7 linked regions of the Canis lupus familiaris genome follow. The protein of the gene in region 1 binds, or shares a complex with, the protein of each later gene. Links are inferred from orthologs where the notes say so. Each region holds a gene or a part of one and is shown in the gene's direction. Other genes may lie near its edges. The genes, in order: CACNA1S, STAC2, CACNB3, STAC3, CACNG1, CACNB2 and CACNB1.

Region 1 (4,265 bases):
GGCGGGGGAGATCAGGGGGGCCCTCGCCCACCTCCAACCTCCCACCTCGGGCGCCGCAGGTGCAGCCCCGCAGCAGGTGCAGCCCCACAGCAGGTGCAGCCCCGCAGCGGGTGCAGCGCCATAGTGGGTGCAGCGTCGTAGCAGGTGCAGCCCCACTGCAAGTGCAGCCCGCCGCAGGTGCAGCCCCACCGCAGGTGCAGCCCCATCGCAGGTGCAGCCCCGCAGTCAGGTGCAGCCCCGCGTCTGCGACTCCCTCGGGAGGCCAGAGGTCTTTGGTTTGGATGAGCCAGGCCCTTGCTGTCCCCGAGATGGCCCCAAATGGCCTGAGATGGCCTCAGATACTAACTAGAGTGGGCCCTGGGAGCTTGCTCGCCGCCAGCCCCCGCCCCCGAGGAGCCCAGACACCCCGTCGAGGCAAGAGGCCAGGCTGCTGCCTGCGCTCAGCCCAGCTCTGACCGGGGGAGAGGCCATGTGTGTGCCTGGGTGGTGCCTCTGGCTTTCCTGATGGGGGCGATCGCCCACCGCCACCCCTAGCCCCCCATCCCACCCCCACCCCCATGTAGACTTTTCATCCTTTTTCCCTCCCGGTCGCTCGAGGACTGCGTGTCTCCCCTCAGACTGTGTCCCCTCTGTGGGCGGTGGGACCATGCGGCACTGTTTGTATCAAGAGGCTAAATAAAAGATTTGCTGAGTTTTGTGATCCCAGATGTCATCTACCTCACTCCCCCGATGCCCCTGGGGACTCCCACCCACAGCTCAGGCCCTTGCTGAGGCTGTGGGGCGCTGTTAGCTCTGCGTCCCACTGACCTTTATGGAAAGTGTCGTGCACCCAGCGGGGCGGGGAGGGCCGCAGTCCCGGGTCAAGCCGCCGCCCCTGTCCTGTTAGGCGCTGCAGGGGCTGAGACAGGGTACAAGGCACACGGTCGCTGCGCCGTGTGGCGGGTGCCGGGCCTGAAGTGCGCTCGTTCAAGATTCTTCTGAGGAGGGGTTAGCTTTCCCTGCCGTGCGGTGGGCATGGGTGGGGGGTGTCTGGCCTGGTAGCCAGCCACAGGTTGGGGGACGGATGGGGCTGTGGGGTAGGGTGCTGAACGAGGCCACCCAGCACCTTCTCGGGGGGGTGTCATGGGGCCAGGGAGCGGGGGCAGCGAGTCTTGGCACAGGGGAGCCCGTCTGCAGTTTGATGCCACCCCCTTCCTGAACTCTCTGTGGCCCCAGGCTTGAAGCCTCCCGTCCTGTCTCCCACTGCCCCCATCCCAGGCCCATGGGGACGTTCCTTCCGCCACCCCCTACCAACGTCCTCAGGGACATGCTGGGCTGTCACTGGCCCGGCTGGGAGGGAATGACAGCTGCCTGGCCTCAGAGTCAGGCAGGCAGCAGGGAGCCAGCAGCGGGGAGCCAGCGGAGGCTAATTTTACTTGCTGGGAGCAGGGACAGTAATCCTCCTGCCCCCGCCCCCGGGCTGGCTCAGCAGGGCTCACTTGGCCCCACTGGCCCAGTCCCCACGGCGGGGGCACTGGGGACGCAGGGAGGCGAGGGCAGCGGGACTGCCAGGGGAGCCATGGAGCCGTCCTCGCCCCAGGACGAGGGCCTGAGGAAGAAACAGCCCAAGAAGCCGGTTCCGGAGATCCTGCCGAGGCCGCCCCGGGCCCTGTTCTGCTTGACCCTGCAGAACCCCCTGAGGAAGGCCTGCATCAACATTGTGGAATGGAAGTATCCTTCAGGACCCGCAGGGCATCAGGGACAGGGAGGGGGCAGGGTCACGGATCACCGAGCTGGGGGGCCAGGGGGCTGCTCAGTAAGGAAGGCTGCGGCTGAGGGGGACAGGGACAGCGGGAGGAGCGGAGCCACTGAGGCCTGAGAGTGCTGGGCCCGAGGCCTGCAGAAGGGGCCCGATGTGTCACGGAGGGGGGTCCGCAGGTGTCCCCAAATCCCATTACCGGGGGGCTCCACCGAGGGGTCTGAGGCAAGAGTCTCCTTTTGATACAGGAGGGGAGAGAAAGAGGCAGGGGCCTCTGCAAGACAACTGTCCCCCTTGACGGGAGGGTGTGAGGGCAGAGCTTGCCAGTGAGTGAGGGGAGTCCAGCTGGGGATGGAGTCCAGGGAGACAAGGCCTGGGACAAAGGGCTGCTGTGACGGGCTCTGGGAGGGCGCGGGCCCAGACGCCGGGCGGTCTTCGCCCACACATACCACCCTGGGGACAGGCACTAGCAGTCCCTTTCTCCGTTTGCACTAGCTCTGAGAGGAAGAAGGATGAAAATATCTGGGTTATTTGGGGAAGGGAGGAAGGCGATTAGGGGGAGGGGCTGTGTCAAGCGTCTTCTCAGAGAGAGGTCAGGAATATTTGAAATATTTCTCTAGGGTTCTGGAAGACTGGGCTCCCACCAGCTGTTCCCTAGAAGAAAGGGGAATACGGGATCACTGGGAGGATGAGAAAACCAGGGGACCCATTGGAATAGCTGGGGTCAGAGTCAGCCCTGTTCCCCACAGCTGCACCGCTGCCTCCCTCGGGCCTGTGGGATCGGGTTTCCCCGGGTGGCTTCTCCGTGCTCTGCTCCTCTGCACCTTCTCCTCCGCAGGCCTCTGCCCTGCGGCCCAGCTCTTCGCAATCACTGGGAGGAAGAGGAAGGGGTACAAGCCCAGACCTTCTGCACAATGTGCCTCCCACCCCGCAGCCTGTCCCCACCACCCGCCATCCAATGGCTCGGCCCATGGATGCATGGACACTGCTCACCCACAAGGGACAGGGCCCGGGGGTGGCCCTGGGGAGCGACTGTGAGGGGCACGTGTGCCTGGGAGGGAGGCGTGTGCAGGTGTGCGGTGCACACCCCGGCCTGTGAGCACGGCTGGGGAGGGGCAGGGTGGGCGGCTGACTCATTGCCTCACACGCATTCGTTCCTTGGGCTGGGGGGGTTCAGGCTCCACCCACAGCTTACCCTTTCCCGGTCCTGTTCCCGCGGATGCTCAGCCCCCCGCATCCCTTGCCATTTCTCTGAGTGAGTCCCCCAAGTCGTCTGGTGAGAGTCTCAGAAAGTCAGGGCCCCCAGGGCAGGGCTGGGGATGGGCAGGGCCTGGACCAGTGAGACCTCAGGGCCCCTACAGCTGAGCAGCCCCGAGCCGGGACCCGAGCTTCACACTCCCATCACCGCCGAGCCAAGTTAGCTGTTCCTGGGGAGACCCCACAGGGGAGCGGGGAGGAGCAGCGTGGGCCCCCGGTGTGTACGGTGCCAACCCCTGCCTGTCCCAACCCCACGCCTCACTCGAGGGCTCTCCTTGACCCTGACACTAGACCCTTCGAGACAATCATCTTGCTCACCATCTTTGCCAACTGCGTGGCTCTGGCTGTGTACCTGCCCATGCCGGAAGACGACAACAACACTCTCAACCTTGGCCTGGTAAGATAGGTGCCTCGTGCGGGCCTGCAGCCCCAGGCCGGGGGAGGCCCCCTTGGGGGGCTGCTTGCTGGTGGTAGTACCGGAGCTTCCCACTCACTTGCAGGGCTGGCCGAGCGACTCCTCAGCTCTGCAAGGTAAACTGGCTAATTCTGGATTCCGTCTGACTGGGCCCAGGCACCGTGCTAAGCACCTATGAGACTGGGCCCGGGCACTGTGCTAAGCACCTATGAGACTGAGCTCAGAAAGTGCCACCCCGTAGAGCGGCGCCATCTGACATGCGGGAAGCAAGGCTTGTAAGGTCAGCTACCGAGCGAGGGAGGCGGACTGCTGCTTTCCCTTTCCTGGACACGGTCCAGAAGGAACTGGCCTCCTGGGAGAGTGGGATCTAGGAATTCCCAGAGAGCGCGTGTTTTAGAGCTCTGTGCCTCGCTCTCTGTGCCTCGCTCTCCGCGGCCCATCACCAACAACGGGGACACAGACCACAAAATGCCAGGCCTGGAAGGGATCCCCCGGGATCACGTGGTCCCATCCCCTCCCCGCCTCGCTGGTTTCCGGATGAGGAGCCTGAGCCCCACGCAGGCGAAGCGCTGACCCAACCCAGCAGCTAGATCCTGGTAAACACGGTGACCGTTTCTGAGGCGCCAGGTTCTGTGCTAAATATTTTACGTTATTGTCTTACTTAATCCTCATAACTACCCCCGGGAGGCAACACCATTAAATCCGTGTAAAAGAGAAGGAAACTGAGGCTCAGAGAGTTTGAGTACTTTGCCCAGGGTCACCCCCTCCCCCCATGCAAGTCCTGCAAGAGGGTCTCCGACTCAGGCCTCTCTGACTTTAGGACTTGCCCTCGTGACGGCCGTTGCCAACACGGTG
Region 2 (3,111 bases), on another chromosome or scaffold:
ACTGCCTCACCTTCTCTCCAGGCCCAAAGACCTCCCCTCCTTCAGCCTTGGGCCCTAGCCAAGCCTAGGACCAGCACTTGGGACTTGCTCTCCCTTGGACCCTCCCTGCCTCAGCCTGTCCCTCTGCTCACCTCATGCCCTTCTGAGTGCAGAAGCCACCTTACTGGGGGTTCGGATACAGGAAGTCCAGGATCTGGTGTTTGATGGCATTGGCTCAGAATGGGCATCAAGTCTAGAAGAAGCAACGTGGGAGGGGGTGGCACTGGTGCTCATTGCCAGCCTCATCCCCAGGGCAAGATTGGCGACCGGGTTGGCTTCTTCCCAGCCAATTTTGTGCAGCGAGTAAGGCCAGGTGAGAACGTTTGGCGCTGCTGCCAGCCCTTCTCTGGGAACAAGGAACAGGGGTACATGAGCCTCAAGGAGAACCAGGTGAGTGCCTGGGCCCTGCAGCAGCCGGAGAGGTGGGTGAGGGAGAGAGGCAGCAGGGGCACAGGTGAATGCCCTGGAGGAGGACACTTGTAGCCTGACAGCAGGAGGGAAGGCAGGTCAGAGAGGTGGACTGCAGGGCCCCCCTCTCATCCCCCCCTGGGAATTGGGGCTGAATTTGGTTAGACACAGCCTGGGGGAGGGGAAGAGCACTAGATTAGGAGTCCGGAGGCTTGGGTTTGAATGTTGGCTGTGCCTCTGGCTTGTGTAAACCCCCGATAAGCCCTTTTCCTCCCCTTAACCTCCCCTGTGACATGGGTGTTTGGCCGGGGCGTTAGGCCAGCTGGTCTCAAAGGTCAGCCCCAGAGTGCTGCTCCGGGTCTACTGATCTTGCCACCGTGCCCAGTACCCTGATAGGATCTACTCCCTTCCCCCCAGCTGATGTCTCCAATTTCATCTGCTCCTGGTCCCGTCATCCCCTGGGGTGGCCCCCTGGGAGCCCTCAGCAGGACTCAGGGCCAGGGCTGTAGGCAGAGCCAGGACTCAGCTCGCATCTCTCCCACTCAGATCTGTGTGGGCGTGGGCAGGAGCAAGGATGCTGACGGCTTCATTCGCGTCAGCAGCGGCAAGAAGCGGGGCCTGGTGCCAGCCGACGCCCTGACCGAGATCTGAGCGTTGCCCAGAGAACCCAGCTGCCACCCCTGCCCATGCCTGGCCCTTGCTTCTGGCCCCGGGAACAGGAACAGGCATCTGCCCACACTCTTCCTCCCTCCACCTCTCCTAGGGGCCACTCCCCATGACTTGGGAGCCTTCTGCACGGAGGAAGGTTTTATTTTTGGGGTCCCAAGGTACCCCGAGGGGCTTGCTCCCCTGGACTTAGGGGTGAGGGAGGAGGGGACAGTGGGAGGGAACAGGGAAGCTCCAGGTAGGTCCAGCCACTGCCCAGACCCCACTCCCCAGTTGCCTTGCTGAGTGCAGCCCTGGGCAGGGGGGTGTTCCTGGGGAACTCTCCTGCTGCTTTGTCCAGAGGGCCTTCCCACTTCCCATGTCCACACCACCTTTGCATGCCTGACACCACTGCCCTCTCCCCGCGGAGCCCCTGCTTGGGTCTATGTGCGTGTGACCCTGCGGCTGTCCCTTTGGAAGGAAGTGGGGCCGAGTGCCTCAGTCCTCCGCCCCGGGGGTTCAGGGGCGGTGGGAGGGGATTTAGGACTGCAGGAGGATCCTGAGTCCACCTGCTGGTTTCACCACCTCTGTCACTCCATCAATTCTCAGGAAAGTTCTGTGGGAATCTCTCCCATTACTTGAAACCACGGGCGGACAAAGGAGGGGAGGGCCGAGTTCTGGGGAAAGTGTGGTAGATCAGAGACCGTCTCTTCAAGGAGAACAGTCACCACAGAGCAGCCTCATGGTACCCTTATCCACTGGAGAGGGACACTCCAGAATGACTTGCACCCAGAAACCTGACTGAGAACAAAAAACTAGCCTATGCTTAGAACCCTCATTTCACTGTCAGGACTCTAGAAGTCCCTGGTGGCAGGAGGCAGGGCTGGCCACCCAGGGGAGCCTGTGCTGCCTCCTGTCCTGGGTATCACAAGGCCCACCCCAGGAGTCCTGCCTCAAGGCTGACCAGGCCACTGCTCTTCCTCGCCCTCTCCCTCTGGGCTTTGCAGGAAGCACTGGGACCCCTCCTTCAGTGCAGGGGACCCTTCTGACCGAATCTGCACCCTTATCCTGGACAGAGAGTCCTGGGAGGAAGAGGGAGTGCGAGATGGTTAAGGCAGGCCAACAGTTCTGTTTGACCACCAGGAAAGGAGGGGGTAGGCACCCTGGAGGGGGGGGGGCGCACACAAAGAGGACCCCTCCCTTACAGGTTGTTTTTCTCTGGTGCCAACCTCCCTCTCCCCTCCCAAGCTCAGAGCCTCCTCTTGTGCCCTTGATCGTGCCAGCCAATGCCAGCCCCCACCCTGGGCACAGTCACACCCTCCCATACCCACTAGCCCCTGCTCCACTTCTCCCCCCTCGGAGGGGGGCTCAAGCCACACTGCCCTGTTTGCTGCCATGAGGCCCCCCCCAGCAATATCCCAGGGGCGGGCCCGATGCCCACTGTACATGAGGCTGCATGATGGGTCTGCTGGGGCATTGCTGAGCCCCCAGACCCTTAAATAAATGTTTCTTGTCCCAATCTGTGTGCTCTGTGTGTCTGCTTGGGAGAGAGGATGGAAAGGTGCAAGGAGTGGGGCGGGGGCTGGAGGTGCCAAAAGGAGACTAGCTTGGAGGGGGAAGAATTTGTGGATCTCTGAGGGGAGGGGTGCTGGGGTTGGCCCACACTCGCAGGGGTCCCCTTGCCTTCCCCACTCCCTCCCACCTCAGCAGCCTGAGATGGGGATCTGGGGAGGAGTTTAAAAGAAAAGCTTGGCAGGGGTGTGGTGGAGTGGGATGTCGCCAGACGCTGGAAGGGGAGAGGGTACCACCGCGGTCACATTGTGGCTCGAGGCACATCTGCGTCGGCAGGGGCCAGGCACCCAACTATGCGCATCCACACAGCTCTGCCCACCCAGGGTGCCCTCCAAGACCACCCGAGATCAGCCTCGCCCCCGCCACCCGCCAAGCCGCAGGCAGAAAGGCTGGCGGCGGGGACAGTCGCCGCCAGTGGGGCCCTGAGATGACTCAATCACGGCCGTC
Region 3 (4,262 bases), on another chromosome or scaffold:
AAGCGATGAGGAGCAGATTCCCGATTCACTCTCCTGGGTGTGAGAAACTGGGAGTGGGGAAGGCCTGAGCTCAGAGGGGCTCCAAGTGGAACCCTCTTTCTGTCTCACCTCCTCCTCTGGCGGGGGAGTGCGGCAGGTGGGTAATCAACATTCAAAGGAACAGTGTTGCTCAGGAGATGGAAGAAAGGAGGGAGCTCAAATGGGTGGATCTTTGGGGAAGTTTATTCCAGATAAGGGCTGCTGCTCGGTCTCTAACCCCACATCTCAGTGCTCCCTGGAAGGAGACTGACTGGTACAGCGCGGTACTGAGGCTCCAACCAGGATCCGGGCACCCCACCCCCATCCTTTCTCTAAGGAGGGAATCTGGCCTGACACTAGTGATTGGGTCGTCTTGCCCTTCCTTCCCCCTCCTAACCCCAGGGCGGCCGGGGTCCCACCTTCTGTCACGGCTCCCACAGTCCCCCTACCTCCACCCTCCGGGTTCTTCCCTCCTCCTTCAGGCTCCCCTAAAACAGCCCCTCCCTCCCCCAGTTCCCACGGATGCCTTGGCAATGCCTGGCACAGTCCTTGGCGAGGAAGGGAGGAAGGGAACCCCCATCCTGGCCAGACTAGGAGGGAATCTGCTCGCGCAACAGGTGTGGGGCGGCGGGACCCAAAGCCTCGCCCTTTGCGCGGGGTGGGCGACCTGGTCCTTGGCTGCAGGGTCCCAGCAAGGAGGGGGCCGAGCACCTGTCCGGGCCGGGGCCACTTTCACGGCAGTGGCCTGGGGTCGCCAAGCCCGTCCGTCCCCAGTGCCATCGCGGGGTGTGCCCTCGGAGTCTCGGGGCCGCCAGGGCCCAGGCCGGCCGCCCGGTCACCTGGGGCCCCTCCCCAGTCCGCCGCCCGTCCCCCGCCCCCGCGCTCCCCCGGTCTCCCCGGTTTCCTGTCTCCCCCTCCCTCCCCCGGCCTCGACCCGTCCTCCTCCGCCCGCCGCCTCCCGCCACCTGCGCCCCCCGCGTCCCCCGCGCGGGCGCCCCCTCCCCTGCTCCCCTCCCCCGCGCCAGCCCTTTGTTTCCCGGCGGAGTATTTCCTGGGTTGCCGAGCGTCCCCGTCTCCGCATCCCTCCTCGCCCCGCCTCCTCCGAGCCTGGGTCCGCCCCGCCCGCAGTCTCTCCTCCCCTTCCTCCCCGCCGCCCCGGTGCCCCGTAGGTGCCCGGGGACCCACCTCCCCCGGCCGCCGCCGGCCCCTCGCCCCGCCGGCCGCGGGCTCCGCGGCGCCCCCCGCGGCCCCCGCGCCCCCGCCGCGCGCTCCGGGGAGGGGTCAGGTGGGCGGGCACTATTGTTGTGGGAGCCGGAGCCAGATTCCTCAGCCGCGCTCGGGGTGGGACCGGCAGGGCTCGGGGGGTGGGGAGGGGAGCGGCGAGCGGAGCTCCGAGCAGCTGGTCTTCGCCGCTCGCTCCCTCCTTCGCGCTCTCGCTCCGCCGCCGCCCGCAGGGCTGCGGGGCTCGGTGGCACCTCGGGCGCGGCCCGCTGTCCTCGCCCCTGCTCGGGCTGCTCCCGCCCCGGCGCCGCGCGCTCCCCCCGCCCGGACTCCCCCATGTATGACGACTCCTACGTGCCCGGGTTTGAGGACTCGGAGGCGGTGAGTGCCCACGGTCGGGGGGGGGGGAGTTGGGGTGACTCCTCTTCTGCCTCGGACCCTTCCCCGGGTCAGGACTCCGAAAAACGCCCCAGTGCAGGGGCAGGGCGTGCAGGGGGGCGCTCCTAGGAGAGTGGGGGGGCGATCTTCCTGCCGAGGGCTTGCCAGGGCCCCAGTCCGAGAGCAAGGGGCACGGGGAGTGTGCCCGGCGGGGGGAGCGAGGGGGGCAAGGCGCAAGCAGGTGGCTCGGGCGCCCAGGACCGAGGGGTGGAGGGAGGACTGAGGGCGGGAGGCCGCGGGAGGCCGGCGCAGCGCCCCGAGGTCCCCAAGGGGGCTGGCCGGGCCGAACCCAGCAGCTACCGAGAGGCCGGGCTCTCTGTCTCTCTCCAGGGGGGCGACAGCTCAGACCTCCTGTGCTTCAAGTAAAGGACAATTCAGTCAGGAACCAGCCCCAGGAGGATCATAAACTTGGGGACCTCCATTATTCCCTCGGTTGCCCGAGCACTGCCTCGCGTCCTCGCCCTGCCTGGCCCAGCTCCTCTGGCAGGCTGGAAGCTGGGCACCCAGCACATGGGCCAGCTGACTAAGCCCCATGCGTTCCACGCCTCCTGCCCAGGCATCCTCAGAGCAGTGGGCTCGAGCTCCTGCTCAGCATGGAGGGCCCAGGGCCTGGGGATGGAGAGGAAGCGCTGCCTCCCAGAACCAGGCAACTGATAAATATTTAATTCTCCTCTTTGCTTTTATCTCCTGACCCACTGAGACAAATCAGCTCATTAGGCAGTGATTCCCGGAGCTCAGAGAGCAGGGAAAGTGCCTGGAAAGATGGGGCAAGGATGGGGAGCAGCTTCTCCGTCCCTTGTCTCAAACATCCTGCATGAAGGCCTCCTCTGGAGAGGACCACTAGGTGGCCTGGAAGGCTCCCTGATAGGTGTGGAGGGTAGAGCGCTCTGGTCAAAAGGGGAGTATTTGCGTTTTCTTCAGACTCTTGCCAAGCCCAGGGTACAGGAGTTCTGGGGTTCCGAGTGGGCGGCTCTCCGTCCTTTTCTGGGACTGGGCTCCTGCTGGGCCCAATTCCCCATTGGGCCTCTGGGGCTAATTACATTGCAGCTAGAGCAGATGATTTGCAAGGCTCTGGTGGACACCTCTTTCTGACAGTTGAAGGGACAGCTGGCACGGCCCAGGGTGCCAAGGTGAGCTTGAGAATGAGCCTCTCTGAGGGGATGGGAGGGCCCTAGAATGTTCTTCCCATCCCCGGTGAGAAGGCGAGGGCTGTTGCAAGGTAAAGACTGACATGGGGATGGTGCCGGGGCAGCCTGCTGCCCCCTCCTCGGCTCCCGACCCCTCACTGGTTCCTGGATCACCCTCCCCCACTTCCCTTTCTCTTGCCTGGCTCCTTGCTCTCCCTGAGGCCCCCTCTGAAGCAGTAGGAGGGAGATCAGGCTCTAAATAAATCCACCGGCTCATCTCCCTCCTCTCCTTCCCCCGTGCCAGGCAAGAGTGGAGCTGCAGCCTGCCCACACACTCACCAGGCAAGGGGGGCACCACCAGGGCACTGTGCCAACTCCTGGCAGCTCCAGAAGTACTGAGCCTCTGGCTGTTTTGGCATAACAGGGGGTGAGGGAGGCAAGACCCCAGAGCGCACTTGGCAGGGCAGCCCTGGCCTCCCAGGTGATACCAGAGCATGAGAGATGGCTGAGCTCTGGGGACTTGGGGATAATGGAGAGGGGGTTCCATTCCGAGCACAACCCATTAAACCTTTAGGGGGAGATCCTGTCATTTCCGTCCTGAGGTGAGAGGCCAGGTGACCCAGACGCCCCAGGCAGGGACATTAAGATTACTAAATTAGACGGAGAGCCCGTGGAGCAGAGGGTGAAGGTCAGACCCCTCCTCAGGCATAGGCCTGGACATCTAGGAGGCATCTGGTAGGTATTTATCAACTTGAGTGGTCATCCCGTCTTCTCTTGCCTCCTTCCCCTTGGCCCCTGTTCACTTCAGACAGCCATCTGCCATGGCTCCGACCCCTGAAAGGAGGTCCCCCGCTCCACTGACAGTCCAGAGGTTCTTCCCAGGGCTCAGCGGCTCTTGACCCTGCTGTCAAGCCAGCCTTACTTTGTTCTCAGGAGAGATGGGGACTAGCGGGCTGACTCTACTCCTCTGTAAAACGAAAGACTTTCCCCCCTTTGTGCTACCTTCATGCCTTCCATCTACCACAGACACTGTCTTTAGCTTAGGCTCCAGGCCCCAGGGTTAGCATCAAGCTGACCAGCGCTCCTGCTGACGGTGGGGCTGGGGCAGAGGGCCTGGGATACGTGAGCTTGTGTTCCCTACTGCGAGTCTGGCTTCAGCTGCCTTCTGTGAGTGGTCATGCACGGTGAGCTGGAAGGAATGTTCCTCAGTCGGAGGATATTCTAAAACCCCTTCCCTACACGCACAACACACTCCCACGTGGACCCCTCATCTAGACTCCGATCTTCTCTCTGCCGCCTGCACCTCAGAACTGATGGAGGTACCTCTTCAGGCTTCTGATCATAAGGGGGAAACTGAGGCAGAAAACAAAAGATTCCCTTTCCCCAAGGCATCCTGACTTCTACCCTCCCGTCCTGAGGTCCAGCTTCCCTTGCTCATTTGTGCGTCTCCCGCAGAGT
Region 4 (2,477 bases), on another chromosome or scaffold:
AAAGCCAAGACTGAAACCTTCATCTGCCTAGCTTCAAACTCTGGGCTCTTCATATGTAAAACTATGTCTAAGTAAGAACAAGGATTCTTGACTGTCCTCATCCTTGTGACAGAGTAATACCAGTCTCAGGGCTAGACCAAGAGCTGTGGGCATCCTGGGCAGATTCATAATTTGGCAACCCTTACAAACATATTCGTTGACAATTTTACTCAACATTTATTTGGAGGAGAGGCTGATCTTTATGAGGAGCATGGGTGGAAAAAAGAAGAACCCACTGGTGGCAGCACTCCAGCTTGCACATGCCACTCAGCAGAAAAGCCAGCAGTTAAAGGACCACTCTCCTTAAAAGGAGAATAGTGATTGTGAGCATTCCCCAACTCCCAAGCAACTTATTAGCAAAGTTGTCTTTCCAACATCATATAATGCTCTGCCTGGAAGGAGTGCTGGTAAGTATTTTTCTCCATCACATTACATTCCCAGTGATGTTTTTATAGCTCTTTATAGATTGATGACCTAGATATGCCCAGCTGACCCCACCCTAATCCTACACACACACACACACACACACACACACACACACGTATCCGTCTACTTAATCCCACCTCTCCCTTACTTAGAAGGTCTCTCTTTCCTTCAAGTCTTTCTCTGCTTCCCCAGTAATGGCTTCTTTCTTCTCCCATTCCCACTAGCTGCGGCCAGTCACAATGATCCTGTGTTTGAAACCTTGCGCACTGGGGTGATCATGGCAAACAAGGAACGGAAGAAAGGACAGGCAGATAAGAAAAATGTGAGCACCATACCTTCCTCTTGAGGTCCCTCCAAGAGATTCCGCAGAGCAGGTCCTGTCTCCTCTCTGGAAAGCTGACAGAAGCTAGGGATTCTCTTCCCCTAAAATTGCACATAACCCAACAAATTTTTGCATGCAATTTTAGAGAGCCTTGGGTTGAGAATTCCTGCCATAGCATGTGTTTTCTCTAGAAACTCCCTTCTGGAATTGTCAGATTAAGCACCATAACCTACTGAAGGTTAGGTCCCCAGGCTCCTGGCATTGCTAGACAACAGAGGCAAGAGCCATGCTTTTGGATTTGGGGAAGCAAACCTATCATGCCAAGCAATCAATTCTAGAGCCATGAAGGGTCCATGAATATCATCTGAACTTACTCACTTATCCTATAGATGAGGAAACTGAAGCATTAGGCTAGCACCCAAAAGCAACTTCATTTCCTTTCGTAATAGGGTTACTAGTTTGGTGATGCCATAGACTTGCATTCAGTTTGGCAAAGAATTTGTTAGCATATCCTTATATCTTTCTGGAAAACCAGGATGGACTGATGTGGATAACAGTTAGTTGGAGTCCTAAAATTGGATGAATGACTATGCCCAAAGAATCCAGGTCCTTTAGAGAGTGCCTAGCTAAAGGGAGATTTCTGATACCTTATAACATGAGTTGGTCCTCAGTACTGATCTATAGAGATTTTTCTCATTGATACAAATGAATATATAAATAGTATTATCCCTTAAGTCTGTGAGAAACCTAGGAGGGGAAACTTATACACTGAATAGTATATTCAAATATTTTGAGACTAGAAGAAAAGCTCAAAAACAATAATTTGAAGTTTTGTAAGGAAAATGAACATGTCTGCTCTTGGATCAAAGAAATCAACTGTACAAAAACTGTAGGAATTGGCTTCTGAGTAGTTGATATGGAAGTTGGGTACAAATTAGCGATTTCTGTAGAATGAACTAAGACTTACAAGGCCCTAGCAATGTGATTTGACTGCTTTCAGAAAGGCAAGCACACTCAGGTTCTCTTCTCTTAAGGGAATTATAAAAACCATGCTGCCCATTTTTCTCTTACACACTGGAGTATTTTTAAGAGCAGACATAGTAAAAATCCTAGAATCGGCATCATGGAGGAGGGGATGATTTAAAGGGACTATGTTCTCTGTTGCTCCAGAGGCCAAATCAGGACTGATGACTAAACGTTACAGGGAGACTGAATAGGTTAAATTTAGGGAATTGCCCTCAAATTGCATGAGCTTACTTTGTAAGGTAGTGAGCTCCTGTCATTAGCTGCATTCAAGCACAATGTGGATGGTCCACCTGCCAGGATGTTTTACAGGAAGCTCAGGCATTAAGCTGGTGGTTGAACTGGGTATTTCCTCCAAGGCTCCTTCCAATCCTGAGATCCTATTATTCTATAGTTGGCTGGCCTGGCTGGAGAGCCAGGGCAAGCATGGGTTCCCAGGAGAGCATCTTCCTAACTCTTGTACCCCCTCCAGCCTCTAGCAGCCGTGATGGAAGAGGAGCCAGAGCCTGCCAGACCAGAGGAAGGCAAACCCCAGGATGGTGAGTGTCACCCACCTCCATCCCTAGAAATGGAGTAGGATCAGGGGCTCTGCTCTGGTACAGGGAATGGAGGGCCAAAGGGTATGCCAGTGTTTGAAGATAAAAGTGGCTCTGCAACAGAAGAGTAA
Region 5 (4,236 bases), on another chromosome or scaffold:
ATGTGGAAAGGTTTACCACAACACGTGATATACAATAGATACACAAGATGCGCGGTTCCTATGATTATCGTTATTATTAACAGTCTGTGACTCCAAGGCTGGACGCCTGAGTGCTTCTCCGCCCACAGGCAGAGTATTTCTGTGAGCTGTGTCAGCCTGAGGCTGGGATTTTGAAGTCAAAACCCTGCCCAGCTCAGGGGTCTATTCTTGGCCACACACTAGCCTCTTGGATAGACCCTAGAAGAGGCAACTGGTCAATTGATAAAGAAGAGATGCAGAGGGGCGCCTGGGTGGCTCAGTCTGTTAAGCATCTTCCTTCGTCTCAGGTCATGATCTCAGGGTCCTGGGATCGAGTCCTACATCAGGCTCCCTGCGTGGAGCCTGCTTCTCCCTCTGCCTATGTCTCTGCTTCTCTCTTTGTGTCTCTCATGAATAAATAAAATCTTAAAAAGAAAGAGAGAGAGAGATGCAGAACCCAGGAGGGATCCAGGGGCTCGAGCCTGGGGTGGGGGACATACGGGCTCGCAGGACTCTCTGGGGGCCATCCCAAACTGTCCTCTGTCCTCTGCTGTGTCCACACACCATCAGCCTCTTCACAGTTCCCTGCCGACCAACCCACTTCTGTTGTTTTTAACTTAAATATATTTATTTTGTAAATGAAAACAGAACTGGCGAAACGTTAATAGAAGTAAAACTCAAACAGTAAAATAAAAACAGAACGACAGTCAGGTCCAGCTAGATTCCTTGTCCTCTCCAAGCTAGTCTTTGATTCGCAAGCATCAGAAAGGTTAGCTAAAGACTTCCTTTCCTTCTGGACCCAGTTGAAGGGGTGGGAGGAGAATTGAAAAGGAAAAAGCATTCCCACGCCAGGCACAGTGCTGGGTAATGCCAGGCCCAGGAACCACCAGGAATCTTCCCGCAGTTTAGGGTTGTGCTAGGACTTGAGGCTAAAGCCAGGGAGGTGGGCCCCTGGTGGTTCTGGTGGAGGAGCCCCAAGATGTCCCCACGCAGGCTCCTGCATTCCCCAGACCCCCAGGACAAGGACCCACTCACACCCCTTTGCACTGGTGACCGGCCTGCCCAGTGTGGGAGCTGGGCTGTGGTACCTGTGTCCCGCAGGGTCCCCTGCCGTCACCCAGCTGTATCGCCTCCTCCTGCAGCCCAGAGCAAGCACATTCCCACACATCTAGTATCCCTGTGGCCTATCCCTCACTGCCTCCAACTCAGGTATCCTGAGCTGCTAATCGTGGAGATCCCAAGTCACCATCTAGAGCCTTCTCTCCCTGCCCCTCCTTGAGGTATTTTAGGTCTCAGGAGGGAAAGAAAGTCCTGAAACCCGAGGAGAAGCTATCCTCGGTGACACGCCTGGGATGTGCATTAATAGAAGCCTCCCTCAGGCCCCTGACACGTCTGGGCAGCTGCTCAGCCCCGTCTGGTGTCCCTCAGCCCCGAGGCCAGCCCACTCTGGCTCAGCCGGACGCACTAAACTTAGCTTCCACCCCCAGCTCGATAATCACCGCCACCTCCCCAGCCTGGCTGCCACCTGCGCGGGACACACTGCCACCAGACTGTGCCCAGGGCACCCACTCCTCCGCCACCACCATGTCCCAGACCAAAGCGCCGAAGGTCCGCGCGACCCTCTTCTGCATCCTGGTGGGCATCGTGCTGGCCTTGGTGGCCGTGGTGACCGACCACTGGGCCGTGCTGAGCCCCGAGGTGAAGCACCACAATGCCACCTGCGAGGCGGCCCACTTCGGCCTCTGGCGGATTTGCACCAAGCGCATTGTCATGACTGACAGCAAGGACAAGACGTGCGGACCCATCACCCTGCCTGGGGGTAACGTACCCACCCTCTGACCCCATCCCTGCCTCCTGCCCTGCTTCCTGCCCCTGGAAAAGGTGCCGCTGGGAAAGAGGGCAGGTTTCCCTGCCTCAGAGCAGAGATCGTGCCCAGCCTCGGTGCCCAGGGAAGAGGATCCGAACGGCCTCTGTCCTACTGGCCAGGGCCGCTTGTAAAGCCAGGGCGCCTGTCCCTCTTTCTGTCCCGCAGAGGCTCCCGGCCTTCACCCTGAGCAGGGGGCTACCCACCTGGGCCTAACAGGCCTGAGGCCCTGGCCCCCGCAGTGGCCACCCTTCTGGGTGACCCCGCTTTCCTTTCTCCCTGCACAGACAGGTTCAGTGGCCCTAAGTCCTCAGGCTGCAGGGACATGTGCGGCTGGCACGGTCACTCCCCAGGGTCAGCCACCAGATTTGCACAGCATAGCGCAAAATGAAAACGCAGGGCTCTTTGTGAATATTTTTAAGGATTTCGAGATGGTAACAGTGACGCACGGAGCCGAGTGTGGGTCCCTTCTGTGTGCAGGGCCTTGGTTGACCGCAGAAGCCACACATCTGTAAAGCAGGGCCCGGTCGTAGACGAGCCTCCCGCCTTTTGTCAGAACTGTCACACCTGCACATCCTCTCTTAGCTCAGACCCCTCGGAGCTGGGATGCGTGTCCTCCTGCTCTGATTTCAGTGCGTTCCCCAATTTTCCTACCCTGTGACCGAACCGCACATCCGAGGTGAGCTCCTCGTGAAGGATCAGGGTGGTATTAGGGTGACCAGTCTATGCTACAAATGCGGAGCCCTCCACACTCATAGCGAACAGAGCACACGCTGGGGAAAGAGCCCTGCGTGGAGAACCAGAGGACTGGGCTCTGCGTGCATTGCCCACGACACTCCAATGACTCTGGGGTCCACCATGCCCATTGCGGCCTCTGCTTCCCCCTGTAAAATACAGTGTTCGGGCTCTGCAAAGCCCCTTTCAGCCTTTACAAATGGCACCGTAAGGTGACAGTGGGCCAAGGCGAGTACAGGGACCCACCTGCCTTGCAGAATTATTCCCTCTGTTATCAGACTGGGTGTTCCTTGAACCCAGTTCCTTGAACTTTCAAGGAAGTCAGGGCTAAGTCCCCAGAGATCTTGCAGTCTGTGCATGGGACAAAGGAGCCCAAACCCCATTCCTCTACTTCTCCTTTTCCTCCTCTTTTCCCTCCTGCTGGCTCTAGAAAACCCCTGCCTCGCTCATTCCCCCTGGACACACAGAAGACTCGTAAATACCCAGCTGTCTTAGAAACACTGCGTCCCCGGGCCGAGGGCTTTAACAGACGTGGACATGTGCTTGAAGGGTATCACGTAGCTCACATGTCCGCGCTCCTTCAGCCCCGGCCCAGCACAGCCGTAAACAGATGCATCATCCAGCCAATTCCCATGGGTGGGGCAGGGCAGGGGGAGGCAGATTCTCCACGGACCACGCATGGGAGTGCCCTGCCATGGTCCCGTCCACCTGTCCTCAGAGGCACCCACCTTTTAAAGTCTGCTGAGTTTATAGAGCAGATGAGCAAGGAGGCGAGGCAAGTCCATACAAGGAAGGGACAAACTAGCAAGAGGTTAGCTGCACAGGCCCGACAGGCATGGTTTGGTCCTGACCCTGACCAGAGTCTATCTCTACGCCTTCTTGCCCCGCTCCAGAGTGAATCATACCTCCCACGCTTGTGAGCCCAGCCCTACCCTTGACAAGCTTCTGAAGTATGTGCCAGCAATCTCCCCTCTCCTTTCTCTGCAGATGGACACCTTCCCCACCCACCTTTCCTGTGCTCTGTGGGGTTACTTTTTTCTAGAGGGAGGAAGAGAGTGCATACATGTTCTCTCGCTTATTATTAATAGCAGTAATAGGGACCGCAAACACAAATCTGCCAAATATTGTTTTCAGTGCCTCCCATCTTTTAACTTTGAATGACATCAGAAGAAATGGCAGGGTAAGAATCCCCCTAAATGTCTTCTCCATAAAGACAATGAGAACTCTAGCAAAACACGGTCAGAACAAACCTTTTCAGAACCCTGGACACTAACGAATCTTGCAGCAATCCAGTGAGTGCTTATTCAAGAAAAACAGGTGAATCTGAGTCAGAATGGTGAGTTTTGTGGTGCTTTAACTTGCTCTATTTCTGTTCCCCACTCCCCAAGTCTATTAGAGCCTTGAAAACCAATAGCCTGCAAACAGTGTAAATTTAGCCCCCAAAGGGGACAGATGGGGCTGGATCTCATTCAAAGCCTCATTCCCAGAGAACTGTCATTATTTGATCTGCCTGGTGGTTCCCTGGAAGTCCCCACTTGTAAGGTTGTCTTTATTTGACCTGATGCTGAGCTCACTCAGTGGAAACAGTCTTTTTCTCAGGGGGCATTTGGCAAAAACAA
Region 6 (3,958 bases), on another chromosome or scaffold:
GAGTCTCACGTCGGGCTCCCTGCATGGAGCCTGCTTCTGCCTCTGCCTATGTCTCTGCCTCTCTCTCTCTCCTCTCTGTGTTTCTCATGAATAAATAAATAAAATCTTAAAAAAAATTATATACCATGGCAAAATAGAAAAGGGAGGTGAAACCTAGAGGAGTAAACTTGTGTATGCACGTTTCAGCACCCAACCCCGCAGAGGCTGTACTGTTACAGAACAATACCGATGCCTGGAAGGCTCGCTGGAACCAGACGCATCCTCCCTCTACCGGGCAACGAGCCTCGGCCGGAGTATCCACACGGAGTGCTGTTGCAGCGACAAGTTGTTGCTACATGCACTACACCCTCTTTACCAGGAATTCAAGGTAGTAGAGAGGTGCTTATTTTGTCCCAAACGTGATAGCAAGACTCGTCTACTTTGCAGGAAAAAAAAAAAAAAAAAAAAAAAGTAGAGGAAAGCAGGGCTGCTTGGCAGAGGGAAGACACACAGGGGTCGGGAAGGGAACCTCGGGGCTGGGGCTGGGGCTGGGGCTGGGGGGGCGGGGCCTGCAGCTGGCGGTGGAGGCGGCGGCGGGCTCGGGCGGGACCGCGCCCCCCGGGTCGCCGGGGTCGCCGGGGTCGCGCGGGCCGGGTCGGCTGGGCCGCCCGCCGCCGCCCGAGGCCTCCGCCGCAGCCCGGGAGCCCGCGCCATCCGCGCTCCGGGCCGCGAGGCGGCTTCCCGGGCGCCAGGCCTCGCTCTCGCGGCTTTGAAAAGTTTCCAGCGCGCGTGCCACGGCGGCGGGCGGCGGCTGGGCCGGAGCCCACGCGGCCCGCGCCCCCCGCGGGGAACTTCGCGGCGCTCGGCCGCCCTGTCACTCTCGCTTTCCGACGCGCCTCCCCCCGGGCTCGCGCGCCCCGAGCCCCCGCCCCCGCCCCCCGCCCCTCCCGCGGGGACCTTCCCGGGCGCCCGCCGCTCGCGTCCCCGCCGCCCCGCGCTCCGCCCGCCCCGCCCCGCCCCGCCCCGCGCCCCCCGCGCCCGCGCCCGCGCCCCGCGCCCCGCGCCTCGCCTCCCAAGCCCGCCCGGCGGCGTCCCGCGCCCGGAGAGCGGCCCCCGGAGCGGGCAGCGGGGCGCGGGGGGCGGGGAGCGGAGGGGAGGAGGGGACCCGCCGCCAGGGGCCGGCTGCTAGCTTCCAGCCGACTTTTCGCCAATGGTCCAGAGCGACATGTCCAAGTCGCCTCCCACAGCGGCGGCGGCGGCGGCGGCGGCGGCGCAGGAGATCCCGATGGAGCTGCTGGAGAGCGCGGCGCCCGCGGGGGCGCTCGGAGCGGCCGCACAGGTAGCCGGGGCCGCGCCTGCTCCTTCTTTGTGAGCCGCGGGGGCGCCGACCCCCTCCCCCTCCCCCTCCCCCCTTCTCCTCCGCTGCGATCCCTCGCCTCGCCTCGCCTCGCCTCGCCTGGTGCCCCCGACCCCACCTCGCCCGCGGCCGCCCACTCTCCTCTCCCCGCGCCGGGGACCCTGCCCTCGTCGCCGGTCCCCCCGCTCTCCTGCGGCTTCCATCTTTCTCCGCTTCCGAAAAGCAAGTGGGAAGGGGCGGGGGAGACCCGCCGGGGCTCAGAGGCGGCCCCCGGGAGGGCGCCCGCTCAGCCCCCCCCCCCCCCTCGCCCCTTCCCGGGAGAGGCACATGGAGAGACATGAACCAGGCGAGCGGACTGGACCTGCTCAGGATCGTGAGTCGGGGCGGGCGGGAGGGGCTCGGCGCGCACGCCCACCCTGGGGGCGAGTGGGAGCCGGGCTGGGCGGGGGGCGCCACCCTGCGCCGCGGCCCGCACCCCCGCCCTCCGCACCTGGGCGTCCCGCCGCCTGGACGGCCGCGCTGCCCTCGCCTCTCGCCGCCGCTCGCCTGCGCCCCTCGCTCCTCGCCCTGCAGCCCGCGAGCCGGGGGCGCCAAAGTTTGTCCGTGCCCCCCCCCCCCCCCCGCCCCGGAGCGCTGGCCAGGTCCAGACAGCTCGGGACCACCTTCCCGGCGACGGGTGCTAGCGGGTTCGCGGCTCCTGGTGAAACAGGAGATGCCGGTCTAGGCGTTGGGCGATGATAAGGTGGCGGCTTTTACGTAAGGCTTTGGCAGGTACAGTTTGGATTACAGACGCCTCCAGGTCTCCGCGGTAAGGAGCCTCTCAACTTTTATCCTGGCAGGGCAAGGACTCCAGACTCCCGGCTGCGGGGCTGCGGGGCGAGGGCTGGGAAGAAAGAGGTTAGGGCTCTATTGCAAGCATCATTTTGGAAAAAAAAAAAAATCTCTCTCCTTTGCGATATGGGCTTGTTGATTTCATACCTGTATTTGCTGGATTGTAAATGGGGGTGGTTACGTATTTCTGTATTTACAAAAAAAAAAAAAAACCTTATAAATGTGTTATTTTATATTTATATATGCTCAACAGATAGCGGAGTATTTGCTGTAGCAATGGGTGCGAGAGTAGGATTCCCTAATAAAGGTTGCCAATATCTTGTTGCCTTTCTTGTTTTGGTAGGGGATGGAAATGGACTGCTCCAGATATTTTGATACTGTTAATAATAATGGTCATTCCAGCGGCATAATCATGGAGCTTTAGTGAGTTTTTTTTTTTTTTTTGACCACTGGGAAATAACCTTGCTAACTTAAAATACATAATTCACTTTGATTTGAGATGGAGGAAAAATGTAGAAACCAACAAGTTGTGTAATCAGAAACCCATTTCTTTCAGTAGGACAGTTAGATTTTAGTCGGCCTTGGGCTGTTTGGCTGCTGAGCCAGAGGGAGGACATGTAACTAACCACCTACATTTCCATCTAGTTTCTGCCAGGGGACCTGAATTCTTACCAGCACATGTCACGTTTGTTCTAGACTCCTGATTTTATCTAGACACTTAATCAGGTTAGATGAGAGGAGAAATGTACTTAGAGAACTCAGTTATTCCAGGATGAAGGTCTTGACTTTTGATAGAAGAAAAGACTTTGAGACCCTTTTTTTTCCCCCTTTGATCTTCCTTCCTTTGGGGATTTTTTTGTTTTTTTAAATTTTTATTCTTCTGATAAAAACAGTTCCTGAATTCCTGGTGATCAAAGTTAAGCCGACAGAAAGTGTGACTGCAATTAGATAAGTAAATACTTCATTCACGTAGTGATTTATGTCATTAAATGCAAACCAACAAATATTTGTTGTTAACTGCAGTGTGGAAATGATTCAGATGTGAGGAGACAGCGCTGCTGCCTTCAAAGAACTGATATTCCGGTGGCTGCAAGTGTGACAGACAAATGACAGTTGTGTGGTAGAGGACTATAGGGGAAGTACTGGTTTCTGGGGAGTAAAGATCACAGACATTCTATACGGAGTAATCTCTAAGGGCTTCGTGGAAGAGGGGGCTTTCGAGAAAAGATTCCAAGGATGGGTGAGATTTGATCCGAGATTGTCAGAGAGATGGTGGAAGCCATATAGGAAGCAAAGTCACGGAAGTTGTAAGTCTTCTATTTATCACGTGTAGCTTGAAGAGGGTGTGGAAAGGTACGGATAGGGCATAGTTAGATGTAAGACCGACAAAACAATTTGAGGCCACATCTTGGAGGCGTTGGAACCTGGGTGTAATGAATGATCGGGAACCACGAAAGGGGTTCAACCAAAGAGTTATGTAACAGCTCATTCAGAAGATTCACCTGGGAATGTTCTGGAAGGTATTTTAGAGTTTCAGGAGTGCAGAGGTGGAGCTGCCAGACGGGAGATTGGTATAGCAGTTTGGACAAGAGATAACAAGGCCTAAACTAAAGGGAGAGGCAAGATAATGGATATGACAGGCCCGTGCATGGGACACTTCAAAGACTCAATGGACGGGAACTGGCAAGTGAGTGCATAAATACACGAGAGACAGGAAAAGGGGAGGAAAGGCTATTATAAGCAGGTTAGAGGTATAAATATTCAGCTGCACCCGCATCCATCTCCTTGCTT
Region 7 (3,500 bases), on another chromosome or scaffold:
AAATAAATGAGGTAATGTTTGTAAAATATGTCACATGGTACTTAGCACAGTAAACCATAGCTGCTGTTATTTTTTTTTTAAGATTATATTTATTTGAGACATAGCAAGAGAGAGAGAGAGCATGAGCAGGGGGAGAGGGAGAAGCAGACTCCCCACTGAGCAGGGAACCCCAAAATGAGGCTTGAACCCAGGACCCTGGGATCATGACCTGAGTCAAAGGCAGCACTTAACTGACTGAGCCACCCAGACGCTCTGCTGTCATTATTATTATTATTATTATTACTAATATTCTTTCTGGGTGTTACTCCAGGCTAATACTTACCATCCTCAGTGGCCCCCTCCATCTTGAGAAGGCTGAATTCTATTGTTTTTTATTTTATTTTATTTTATTTTTATTTTTTTTAATTTTATTTATTTATGATAGTCACAAAGAGAGAGAGAGAGGCAGAGACACAGGCAGAGGGAGAAGCAGGCTCCATGCACCGGGAGCCTGACGTGGGACTCGATCCCGGGTCTCCAGGATCGCGCCCTGGGCCAAAGGCAGGCGCCAAACCGCTGCGCCACCCAGGGATCCCCTCTATTGTTTTTTATTGTAAAATTTAATGCACATACAGGAAAACTACTTAAATCATTCAGTATACTTGTTAATGATCAACAAAACAAACCTTCACATCATCCTTACCCCAGGATGGTACATCTTGACTTAACCCTCTGGTTGTCATTCTCCCTGTTCACCTCTAGACCAAGCCGGTGGCATTTGCTGTGCGGACAAATGTCGGCTACAACCCATCTCCAGGGGATGAAGTGCCAGTGCAGGGAGTGGCCATCACCTTTGAGCCCAAGGACTTTCTGCACATCAAAGAGGTGGAGTGAGCGCTTCATATCTGGAAGGAGGGCAGGGTAGTGGGCATCAGGAGAGGGACAGCCAGAGCTCTAGTGGAAAAAGACTTCTGAACCCAACAGAGCTTGGCTGAATCTGCTGTATGACCTTAGACAAATCTCTACCTCCCTGAGCCTCTCTGATTTGCGTTGGTAAATGCGGTGGCAATGCCTAGGTCACACGGTTGTTGAGAGGGTTTGTGATGAGATGTGTCAGTGGAGCGGCAGTGTGTGGGCATATGTGGGTGTCAGCTTCCTTTCCTCTTGCTATCTTTCCAGAGGAGGGTGGGTGCATGGTGGGACAGGGATGTGCTGGGGCTGGGGTGGTCCATGGCCCAAGAGAACTCAGGTCATGAAGTTGTTCTGAGAACTGGGGGCTGTGCCAGGGGCTGGCTCTTTGAAGGTGCCACCCCCTGGGCAGCTTGGCAGGTCCCTGGTGGTTTCTCCCAAGGGCGGCTGCTGGCTTGCCCCTCCAACCTCTCTCTTGCTCTCTTCCACCTCACCTGCTATTGCTGTTTGCAGAAATATAATAATGACTGGTGGATTGGGCGACTGGTGAAGGAGGGCTGTGAGGTTGGCTTCATCCCCAGCCCTGTCAAGCTGGACAGCCTGCGCCTCCTGCAGGAACAGAAGCTGCGTCAGAATCGCCTCAGCTCCAGGTGTCTAGCTGGGGAACGCCGACAGACCATCTAGTTGGGACTGGGCCTCAAGGATTGACCCGTTCGTTGCCCTGAGGGCCCAGCCTCCTGTGATGTCACCAGTGGGGCTGGAGAATTTCCAGGAGAGTGGGGGGCAGGCAGCAAGTGAGAGAACAGGCTTCCCCCACCTCACGCCCACCCCTCTGCTCACAGCTCCATTTGCCTCTCTGCCCACACAGCAAATCAGGTGACAACTCCAGCTCCAGCCTAGGAGACGTGGTGACTGGCACCCGCCGCCCCACACCCCCTGCCAGTGGTAAGAGCTGCTGCCACCTTAGGGAACCGTGGGGTGGGGGTGGGGGGGTGGCTCCTGGGTGGGGTCGTCTCCCCACTGCCTGTCCCCTCCTTTCCCTGCAGTAGGGGGCACCCCAGTCCTGAGTCCTTCAAACACATCCAGCGGTACCCCCTCCGTGAAGAGTAGGATACCCCACAAGCTGGGCCTGTCAGCGCCCATTCTCTCATGTCTCTCCTTCCCGTTTCTTTGGTAGCTCCATCTCTCTGCCTGACTCCCCTGCCCCACCCCCATTCATTTCTCCTGGCTCTGTTCCATTCACCTCTTCTTCTTTCTTTTTCCCCCATCCCATCCCTGCCTTCTGTACTTGTGTCTCCATGTCCATCCCACTCCTCCCCACCTCGCCTCCCTCCTCTCTCCTGACTGCGGTCCAGGTAATGAGATGACTAACTTAGCCTTTGAACTAGACCCCCTAGAGCTAGACGACGAGGAGGCAGAGCTCGGGGAGCAGAGCGGCTCTGCCAAGACTAGTGTTAGCAGTGTCACCACCCCGCCACCCCATGGCAAACGCATCCCCTTCTTCAAGAAGGTAATTCTTGCTGGGCTCTGGCAAGAGGGCAGAGGGTCAGGGCCCAGCTTTTTGGCAGGGGGAGGGGCTGGAAAGGATTCGGATGCGGTACCGGCCAGATTCCATGGGGAGTAGGGCCTCCTGCCAAGGAGCGGGGAGGGTGGAATGGTAAGAATGGGCACATCCAGCTCCGCACACAGCCGTGCTCTGGCCCACCCCCAGGAAGGGATGTTTCTTGCAATCGAAGCACCCCTTCCCTTGGAAGGTCATACCCCCTTACCCCACCACCCCTGGAAGCAGGGTCTGGTGATGATGAAGCTGAGATAATCCATGTTTGCCCTCCACTCCTGCCTATGATGGGAAGAGTGGAATGGAGACCCTTCTTTGTCCTTCTTGGACTCCATGGGGCTAGGGTGGGCATGGGGTCTACTGGCTGCACTGTAGGACAGTGTAAGGAGCCCTTCAAACCAACAGGTTGGACTGCACTAGGGGCAGGAGATGGGCACCAAATTAGGGGCTGTCACCCTACTCAGATCTTTCTCAAGACCCAGAAAGGGGAAGGGTATGTCCAAATAGTCCCAAGTTCACTGGACTGACAGTCCTTCTCCCAGGCCTGGTCTAGGGCCATCTCTGGCTCCCCCTTGGCATGGGGTCCCGTCCCTTCTCTCTGGCTCTGTCTGTCACTAACACGCATGCCCTGTTATCTCTCCTCGTCCGTCCGCTCTCCCTCCCTCTCTTGTCCTGGCTCCTTCCTTGCCCTCTGCCCCTGCCTGGGTGCCCTTCCCTCTCTCCCCTGCCTCCCCACTCTTGGCAATCTCTGGACCCAGCCAAACAGAAGCAGAAGTCGGTGAGTATCACAGCTTTCTGTGTCCCCCTCTGCACCCCCTGGGATGAGCTAGTGGGACCTTCTAACACCCATTCTTGTGCCCTCCCCACCCATCCCCCACTTCCCTCACCCTTCCTGGTTCTCCTTGGCCATCCCTCCCCACCCTGACCTCGACCCCCACATCTGGGCTCTGGGAACAAGGGAGGAAAGGGTGCATGGGGGAGCCTGGAGGCTGCAGAAGAGGAGCTAATGCCATCTCCACTCTGGGGTTTCCCCTCCCTGCTTCCCCCTCAGACA

The links.
Region 2: the proteins of CACNA1S (region 1) and STAC2 are in contact, whole or in part, in a crystal structure (PDB 6B27), measured with the Homo sapiens proteins. The link is inferred for Canis lupus familiaris from reciprocal best matches to the Homo sapiens genes CACNA1S and STAC2. Residues at the interface, in NP_000060.2 of Homo sapiens: Glu749, Pro750, Glu751, Ile752, Pro753, Ser755, Pro756, Arg757, Pro758; in NP_945344.1 of Homo sapiens: Tyr301, Lys302, Phe303, Gln306, Glu307, Asp310, Asn326, Asp328, Trp329, Phe340, Pro342, Asn344, Phe345.
Region 3: CACNA1S (region 1) and CACNB3 share a complex: the UniProt entries of both Homo sapiens proteins name them as parts of the calcium channel complex. The link is inferred for Canis lupus familiaris from reciprocal best matches to the Homo sapiens genes CACNA1S and CACNB3.
Region 4: CACNA1S (region 1) and STAC3 share a complex: the UniProt entries of both Homo sapiens proteins name them as parts of the calcium channel complex. The link is inferred for Canis lupus familiaris from reciprocal best matches to the Homo sapiens genes CACNA1S and STAC3.
Region 5: CACNA1S (region 1) and CACNG1 share a complex: the UniProt entries of both Homo sapiens proteins name them as parts of the calcium channel complex. The link is inferred for Canis lupus familiaris from reciprocal best matches to the Homo sapiens genes CACNA1S and CACNG1.
Region 6: CACNA1S (region 1) and CACNB2 share a complex: the UniProt entries of both Homo sapiens proteins name them as parts of the calcium channel complex. The link is inferred for Canis lupus familiaris from reciprocal best matches to the Homo sapiens genes CACNA1S and CACNB2.
Region 7: CACNA1S (region 1) and CACNB1 share a complex: the UniProt entries of both Homo sapiens proteins name them as parts of the calcium channel complex. The link is inferred for Canis lupus familiaris from reciprocal best matches to the Homo sapiens genes CACNA1S and CACNB1.

What each region holds. Positions count from the first base shown.
Region 1 is NC_049228.1:1,869,784-1,874,048, forward strand, and holds the start of CACNA1S (voltage-dependent L-type calcium channel subunit alpha-1S), read left to right. Parts: upstream 1-1,465; 5' UTR 1,466-1,558; coding exon 1,559-1,710; intron 1,711-3,286; coding exon 3,287-3,392; intron 3,393-4,265. UniProt on the Homo sapiens protein: Pore-forming, alpha-1S subunit of the voltage-gated calcium channel that gives rise to L-type calcium currents in skeletal muscle.
Region 2 is NC_049230.1:23,115,706-23,118,816, forward strand, and holds the end of STAC2 (SH3 and cysteine-rich domain-containing protein 2), read left to right. Parts: intron 1-131; exon of another isoform or gene 132-232; intron 233-291; coding exon 292-429; intron 430-993; coding exon 994-1,098; 3' UTR 1,099-2,611; downstream 2,612-3,111. UniProt on the Homo sapiens protein: Plays a redundant role in promoting the expression of calcium channel CACNA1S at the cell membrane, and thereby contributes to increased channel activity. Slows down the inactivation rate of the calcium channel CACNA1C.
Region 3 is NC_049248.1:40,934,182-40,938,443, forward strand, and holds the start of CACNB3 (voltage-dependent L-type calcium channel subunit beta-3), read left to right. Parts: upstream 1-1,462; 5' UTR 1,463-1,575; coding exon 1,576-1,620; intron 1,621-4,262. UniProt on the Homo sapiens protein: Regulatory subunit of the voltage-gated calcium channel that gives rise to L-type calcium currents. Increases CACNA1B peak calcium current and shifts the voltage dependencies of channel activation and inactivation.
Region 4 is NC_049231.1:1,726,197-1,728,673, reverse strand, and holds part of STAC3 (SH3 and cysteine-rich domain-containing protein 3), read left to right. Parts: intron 1-231; exon of another isoform or gene 232-446; intron 447-689; coding exon 690-787; intron 788-2,282; coding exon 2,283-2,349; intron 2,350-2,477. UniProt on the Homo sapiens protein: Required for normal excitation-contraction coupling in skeletal muscle and for normal muscle contraction in response to membrane depolarization. Required for normal Ca(2+) release from the sarcplasmic reticulum, which ultimately leads to muscle contraction.
Region 5 is NC_049230.1:13,485,543-13,489,778, forward strand, and holds the start of CACNG1 (voltage-dependent calcium channel gamma-1 subunit), read left to right. Parts: upstream 1-1,436; 5' UTR 1,437-1,602; coding exon 1,603-1,837; intron 1,838-4,236. UniProt on the Homo sapiens protein: Regulatory subunit of the voltage-gated calcium channel that gives rise to L-type calcium currents in skeletal muscle. Regulates channel inactivation kinetics.
Region 6 is NC_049223.1:17,855,169-17,859,126, reverse strand, and holds the start of CACNB2 (voltage-dependent L-type calcium channel subunit beta-2), read left to right. Parts: upstream 1-1,158; 5' UTR 1,159-1,189; coding exon 1,190-1,318; intron 1,319-1,658; exon of another isoform or gene 1,659-1,673; coding exon of another isoform or gene 1,674-1,709; intron 1,710-3,958. UniProt on the Homo sapiens protein: Beta subunit of voltage-dependent calcium channels which contributes to the function of the calcium channel by increasing peak calcium current. Plays a role in shifting voltage dependencies of activation and inactivation of the channel.
Region 7 is NC_049230.1:23,137,233-23,140,732, forward strand, and holds part of CACNB1 (voltage-dependent L-type calcium channel subunit beta-1), read left to right. Parts: intron 1-741; coding exon 742-864; intron 865-1,401; coding exon 1,402-1,538; intron 1,539-1,756; coding exon 1,757-1,833; intron 1,834-2,243; coding exon 2,244-2,398; intron 2,399-3,204; coding exon of another isoform or gene 3,205-3,224; intron 3,225-3,497; coding exon 3,498-3,500. UniProt on the Homo sapiens protein: Regulatory subunit of L-type calcium channels. Regulates the activity of L-type calcium channels that contain CACNA1A as pore-forming subunit.